Oreochromis niloticus: one gene and its partner. The protein of the gene in region 1 purifies or fractionates together with the protein of each later gene. This does not show direct contact. Links are inferred from orthologs where the notes say so. Each region holds a gene or a part of one and is shown on either strand. Other genes may lie near its edges.

Region 1 (3,754 bases):
CAGAGTCTGTAATGCCACCATTGCTGGGAGCTGGCTGCTCGGACAATAAAAGAAGAAGCACTAAAATCAGTAAGGATGTTTAAAAAATAAAATCATCCTTTCTGGATGTTTGTTTAAAGGTATAAGGTGGTTGGTAAATTGAACAGAGGCTGGCAAAAAATGATGCAATATTGAATCTTTTTTTTTACCGCAACTGGGCATGCATCAGCGGGTTGTTGTTTAGAATCAGAGTCTGCAGGTGCACCAGGCGTCTCATCTGGGGTGGCAGGCTGTCCAGCTTGTTGTCACTCAGGTCCAGATACAGCAGGTCTGTCAGGTTGATGAACAACTGGTTGGGGATGGAGTCGATGCTGTTGTGGCTCAGATTGAGCACCAGCATGTTCTTGCTGTTCTCCAGGTCCCTGGGGATCTCTGTCAGCTGATTGTAGCTCAGGTCCTGGTGGAGGACAAAGTGAATAAAAAAAGCAAAAGTAGTAGACTGGAAGCAAATGACTCATGCTCAAAATGTTAGTGTTAAATTTAAGGGTGTGTTGAAAGTGTGAGACAGTTAAGAGACATTTGTGTACCAGCACAGAGAGGTCATCGAGCTGAAAGATGTCATCCGGGACTCCAGAATTTTTCAGATTGTTGGCCCTGGCTACCACCGCCTGCAGACAAAATTTAGAATACTAGATTACACACTGGTGTAGAAAGAAAGAGGCAATCATGTGGCAGGAGCTCTGTTTTTTAATGTATGGGTGGAACATCATTTCCATTTTTATTTTTAAAAAGGCATGTAGTTTTTCTGGGTTTTTTTTAGTTACCCGTAGATTCGGTAAGCTGGACAGTTCCCCATGTAAAGTGGTCAGGCTGTTGTGACTCACTGAAAGGTGCTCCTAAAAAGGGAAAATACACACAGGCACATGTCACTGCTATACTTTGGTCTTCACAAGTCATGAGGATACAGGGTATGTGTTTCACAAGTAAATCATGTGCTGATTACACCCTTGTAGTTATCTGCTCGTATCAGATTAAACACTTCTATGTTTTCAAACAGTTTAAACTTGTTCATATGACCACAAATACAAAGTGAATCCAGCAAGGACAAAATGAATATTTTAACTTTGATCCATGTCTCATCTCCTATACAAATAATTTTCTTGCACAAAAATCTATCTCACTTGATAAAATAAACAGTTCCTTGATCCTTTTATCTTTGGAAAACTGCACAGTACAGATGTAGAACAAAAAGACTGTGGCCATTACAAAGAGGTCTACTCACAAAAAATTCTTACTTAAATTGCATTGTAGATGCACATACACACACATACAAATCACTTCATGTATGAAGATGCTCCTAGTTAGTCAGGATGTCTCACCAGCTTCTGCAGAGAGGCCAGCTCCTCTGGTAGGTAACACAGTCCCGTCCTGTTCAGTTTCAGCCATCGCAGGCTGCTCATACACTTAACGTGCTCTGGGAAGTATCCACCCTAAGTGAGACCACACAAAAATACATGACTTTTGACAACAGTAATACAAGAACTTACTTTGTTATAGTGCAGAGGGGGATGAATTTGTCCGCTTTTACCAAAACACTGAAACATAAAACTCTAGATGTGCTACCAGAGAAAGATTACATTTTTAAACAACTTCCCCCCAAAGATACTCTAACAATTTCATTGTCAATTATAGGAATGAACTGCACTTTAATGTTTTGATTGCATAAATAGTGACAGCACTACATTTGCACACAAATGGGCGGATAGCATTAATCTTGATTTTTTTTAACAGATGAAAAGTGCACACATCCAGGAAGAGAAATGCTAGGGCTGCATATGCTAAAGCAGTTAGAATATAAGGAAATGATCTCATCATGTACTGGCAGATTTCAATCAAAAGCCACCGATTGACTAACAGATAACTCAGTTGTTTAAGCAGCATATTTCCAATACTTTGACGGAGATACGTAAATAGTTGTGTCAGGACAAATACATGCCAGGTGATCGCAGCTGTCAATCGGGCTGCTTTTTCCACTCTCCGAAAATAAGCTCATAAAAGGGTGTCACAACCTAAAAGCAACAGCAAGCTCTATTAGTTAGCTGACGCTGTTTATCCACTTCACTTTCTGACAAGTTACAACACGGAGCTCGAGCTTCTGTGACAGACATTTAGTTAGCCATAAGTGTGGCTAGATTACTCAGCTAACATGACTGTGAATATAAGACCTAGCTCATCAACAACTTCACAAAAATAATATTAACGCTAGCTGACGAGCTAAAAATATATACAGTTCGCAAACCCACACGTCAAATAAGAACTGTGTTAACCACCAAACTGGGCGGTGGTGGCTGAGCAGACTGTGTCACTCTGACAACTGGCTAACGCCCAATGCTAGTAACGTTAAGCTAAGCTAGTTTATAGCTAGCCCTGCCGTTTGTTGCTCTGAGAATGACTGAAGTCGCTCCAGCTACTCTAACGTCGTATTTACTAAACATCGGACAGTGTGAAAATCAGTGAATGCTGTTTAAAAATACTTACTTTAAAGTCGTTTCCACTGAGGTCTACCCCCCGTATAAAGGGAAGAACTCCGGTGGCAGCCATTTCTAACTATTTGATGTCTGCTGCTCTATTTTGGTCAAAAGAGGGTTGTGGCTGAAAAGACTACCGTTTCTTTTTCTTATTCTTTTTCCGTGTCGCAAACCAACGCGATGAGTGGCATATCGCCACCTAACGTACACCCACGGAGTAACAGCTGTCCCAAGCCTGGATGAGTGGAGTACCCGGAAGGGCATCCAGGGAAAAATCTTCGCCAAATCTAATACGCGAATCATCAGATGATTAAATCCCCAAAATTGTGAAATTGCTGCAAAAACAGTCAAACATGTCAAACACAACCTCAATAAATACATAAGAAGGTCAAAAATTAAAAAGTAAAAATCTAAAAACAGTAATATGCAAAAAAGAAGTTGCATATTATAAAGTACATCTATCTATCTATCTATCTATCTAGATAGATAGATAGATAGACAGAGATGCTGGAAGGGTTCTTTGCATAAGCTGTGAGACTGACAAATGGACTGTGCCCCCTCCCCACCCACACAGCCATTCACACAGCTACACTGTAAGATCAACAAGCGGGACTGTGTTGCCCCCATCTACACACACACACACACACACACACACACACACACATACAATACACTCCTCAGATACAAACACTACCTAATGTAACTATCCGCTCCCGTGAAAGGACTGCTGCTATATACCCGAGCGAATGTGACTTGAGTTTGTTTTAGAACTTAGATTTTATGTTATTTATTTATCCATAACTATTGTTGCAATTCATTACTGCCTCTTTTACTGCTCTTTTTAAACTTATTCTTTTAAAACTGTATTTATTATTTTTAAACTGTATTTATTCTTTTTTAAACTGTATTGCTTTTTGCACTGTAGAAGCTGGTGAGAAACAGTATTTCGTTTCAGGCTGGGTAACACCATACGAAATGACAATAAACTTCTTGAGTCTTGAGTCTATATGAATAAAAAATACTTAGTGTATTCAATCAAAACCAAGCATGGCAAATATCAGACAACATAAAAATGGCTCAGTGTAACCCACAAAAGTAATTTTTTTCTTTACAGTCTGTAGTGCCGAGTGAAAATAAAACATTTGCTCTCATCTAATTTCTTTTTTCGACCCTTCATCCCAGTTCCTGCTGTTTGTTGCCCTTGTTTAATATCTGTGTCCCACTTCTTCTGCCAGGAATCCCACACT
Region 2 (3,754 bases), on another chromosome or scaffold:
CAGGCAGCTTTTTTCTTTGCCTGTGTTTTTCCTTCGTGAACAAAAACACTACAAGTGAAGTCAACCTCTGTGGACTCCAAACAAGCTGTCTTCACTTGCTTGGGGTGAAACACAGAACTTAACCAGCAAAACACAAACATCCATATCTAAATATAGACATTAAGGTTTTTGATAATGAAACGCACACTTCAAATTAACATCACTCGCCCTGCAGTCTTCGTACACCTCTCTAATTCAACGTGCTGTTAAACTGAACTGATAGCTAACCTAGTCTGAAACCTGACAGATCGCATACAAGTTCTGCTGAGTAGCCTTTGGTCTCAACTTTCAACCAGTTTTTCAAAAGACAACATTGGAACATTAGTAAGATCAACCAGGTTACTCTAAACCTGGGCTCTAAAATTGTTAGCTCAATTTCAAATGGTGTAAAAGCTATTGGTAAATACTTTCCACAATCTCTCAGGCAAAAAGATAATTAACATTTTTAATTCTTTTTGTTTGAATTCACATAAAAGTAAAAAAAAATGCTTCTGTCTTCTTGAAATGTTACACATTGCTGAAAAATCATTAAGATGACCTGAGTTTTTTCATTGGTTTAAGTAATTGCAACGATACAATAAGGGTTACAAAAAGTAAGTAGACACATGCATTTACATTATAAGGCTTAGGCAAAAGATTTAATCGACATGTTCAGTTTAAAAGGGCTCTCACAAACCATAATGCTGCTTAGGCAAGCATATGAGTACTGATAATGCTCTTAAGAAACTACTTGGTAGTTTTAAAAAGTGATGGTTCTGCTGCCCAGGTTAGCCACCCTTAAATTGACAAATCAGTCCTCTGTCTATACTTGAAGCCCCCATTATCTCAACAAGGATAAACAAGAACATTTGAGCTGACTAAAAATCAGATTTGCATTGATTCAGGATTGCATAAAGGGAACATTTTATGGAGAAAGCATCCCAGGTTCATTGCAGTAAGCTTCAAAATTAATGTAAGTGATGAATGACCTTACCTCACGAGCAATGCTATTCAGCGCATCATCCTCTGCTGAGAACCGATCTTTTAGAGGAGCACGCTTTCTACCAGTGCCTTGTGTCCCCATGTTAGTACTGGAACTCATACTGTGTAAGCCCAGGAAATGGAAACGTGTGTTAATTCCTGGAGGAACAAAAGCAGATAAAAATAATTTCAACAAGTCAGTAAACAAAGTCAAATGATAGAATAATTAGACATATGTCTTTTGGCTGTGTTTCACTGTGTATGCTTTCTGCACTCCCAACTCAGACACTTCATATCTCTTATTTTCACTCCTGCAAAAACAGACCCTTGTATGGAATCCACAAGGGCTTTGGATAAACACTTGTGACTGACATGAACCAGCTTTAAAGTGACATGCATATAGAAGGAGCTCTGGTAACTTAAATCAGCCGGAGATATCAATCCAAAACACAGCATGATAAAGTGTACAGAATTAATAACACAATTAGTTAAAAAAAAAAAAAAAATCTACAAACAATACCTGTCCACTGATTACGCTTGCATTTTAAGTTGATGTAATGGGTATTCCACATGCGTTGATAGACACAAGAGTAATATCAGAGTTAACATTATCACTAGACAAAAGCCCACTGTGGATGGCTGGTACAGACGCGGGGGGGAAAACGCCTAGTTTAGGATCCGGCTGAGTCAGAGGATCCAAGTGAGACATGAGCACTCCATGCAGACGTTTGATGAGCTAAACCGCGTAGGTCCAAGAGTCAAACGGACTAGTCACAGACGCCGCAGGCAACTTAAGGAATTCTGATCCTTGACAAAGAATAGGGTGATTAGCCAGCCATCATTAATCAGCTGGGTTAAGTTACCACCCACTAACAAAGCTGGAATTATCCCCTACACCATGTCATATAAGCAAAATAATTAAAATAACGGCTGCGTTAAAACAAAAGTAATGCAATGAAGTGAGGCAATGTGTTGCTCCCTAGCATTAGCTACCAGCGTTAACTACTGTTAGCTAGCTCTTTTGCTGAGCTAACTGGGAGTGCTAACTAGCATTTCGTCGTTCCCGAATTCATATTTGAAAAGTTCCCTTATTAGGTTCTCATTGAGCTTTCAGTCCAGCTAACGCTCTAGAAAACGAGAACTATTTAGACGTGTCCGTCCCACGGCAATGACCCCCACCCCCCAGGTCCCGAAGACCTACCTAAAGCTAGTTCACTTGTTTAGCTGGGTAGTTAGCTTGGATAGCTAGTGGGGCTAACCTGGACTCTCCAGAGACAGACAGGGCATACTGGCACTGATCCTCCAGTCATATTTCCCAGCCCCCCAAAAACAATACCTCACCTTCGCGACACCTTTAAATAACCCGCGATACTGTCGAGGTGTTATCCCTTGTCTCCTGGAGTTTCAGGGGTGAGCCATTCGGGTTCTCTTCAGAGATTGTTAGTGTTTTTGTCCGCAGTGACAGCTGTCATCAGTCCGCCTTTCCACCGCTCCTCACTGCCCTCCTTACCCAGTTTCCACACACACTGGTTGGTTCCAAAGGACCCGGATGTTGGAAAAAAAATTAGGGTGTGATGCTGCGTTCACGTCCCGCAAGAGCAATCAGAATCGTAACTTTTTTTTTTCAAACTGATGCAGACCTTCTAGTTTTTATATTACCATATAATAATTTTAGGCGATAAAAACATTTCTTTCTTTAAACGAGAAAAAAATCAACCATCTTATATTGTTGTTACTATATAAATATCCCTTTGTATTGGACAGTTTCTTGCTTTGATGAGCAGGCTTTGTTAAGCTTGCTCACAAATGATTATATGATATCTGTAAAGCTTTTATCTTTTAGCCCATATTTAAGTACAGTTTAAATTTAATGCAGTTGAAAATGTAGTGTGGAATATATTGTATGTAGATTTTTGCCAAAATATTATCTTATTCAAAAAATTCCATCCAGTACTTATTATTATTATTATTATTACTCATTATTATTATTTCGTTTTTATGCAATGTTATATTTTCAGCATTTACTTTTTTTCCTTGTCAGAGGTCGGCCTTATCGATGGGGCTCGGGGGTCCAGACCCACCCAATAAAGTCGGTGTACCCCTTCATCGGATTTCTACTGATATCCTTCAACTGTAAGTTCCATTAATTCATAGAAGTTGCTAATAAAAACAAACAAACATATCGGTTAATAATATTTTAGTGCTTCTGCAGCAATCATGTAACCAGCATGACTGAGGAGGTCATGCTGGTAACCTTCATGTACCTTTGAAACTAAACAGAGGTCATTCATCAGCTGGTGCAGCTATATTGTATGAATGTAATTAATAGAACAAACCGAATACTCCCATGAACTTGGTTGCCCATTTAATAGCATATGGTGTGCCACCAAAGCTGCAGAGGTTACCTAGGAAGGTCAAAGGGCACTGTAGTCTGCTGTCACGGCTACATAGTTTGTCCACATGAGGGCAGTAATGGATAACGATTTGTTCTGCATTTTGTAAAAATGCAGTGCTGTATGGAGTTACTCCATACTTTCCTAAATGTATGATGTGGATGCAAACATTTATGCCGTTTAACTTAAATGCTGAAGTCACCTGTTTAAAAAAATATAGATGGCAGTCTGACAGAGCCAAAAAAAAAAACCCAAAACAAAACTTATACAAGGGCAGTGACCTAATATTTATATATGCATGAGAACAGTGCAGAAAACTAGTGTCTTATTAGCAACAACTCCAAGAATATATGCAAACAAAG

Evidence for each region.
Region 2: the proteins of flii (region 1) and lrrfip2 purify together in Homo sapiens (affinity purification with mass spectrometry; 3 studies listed by BioGRID and IntAct, with this or other methods). This does not show direct contact. The link is inferred for Oreochromis niloticus from reciprocal best matches to the Homo sapiens genes FLII and LRRFIP2.

What each region holds. Positions count from the first base shown.
Region 1 is NC_031969.2:11,744,743-11,748,496, reverse strand, and holds the start of flii (protein flightless-1 homolog), read right to left. Parts: upstream 2,675-3,754; 5' UTR 2,581-2,674; coding exon 2,518-2,580; intron 1,470-2,517; coding exon 1,359-1,469; intron 876-1,358; coding exon 804-875; intron 648-803; coding exon 567-647; intron 437-566; coding exon 189-436; intron 35-188; coding exon 1-34. UniProt on the Homo sapiens protein: Is a regulator of actin polymerization, required for proper myofibril organization and regulation of the length of sarcomeric thin filaments. It also plays a role in the assembly of cardiomyocyte cell adhesion complexes.
Region 2 is NC_031978.2:25,203,180-25,206,933, reverse strand, and holds the start of lrrfip2 (leucine-rich repeat flightless-interacting protein 2), read right to left. Parts: upstream 2,549-3,754; 5' UTR 2,341-2,548; intron 1,159-2,340; 5' UTR 1,121-1,158; coding exon 1,013-1,120; intron 1-1,012. UniProt on the Homo sapiens protein: May function as activator of the canonical Wnt signaling pathway, in association with DVL3, upstream of CTNNB1/beta-catenin.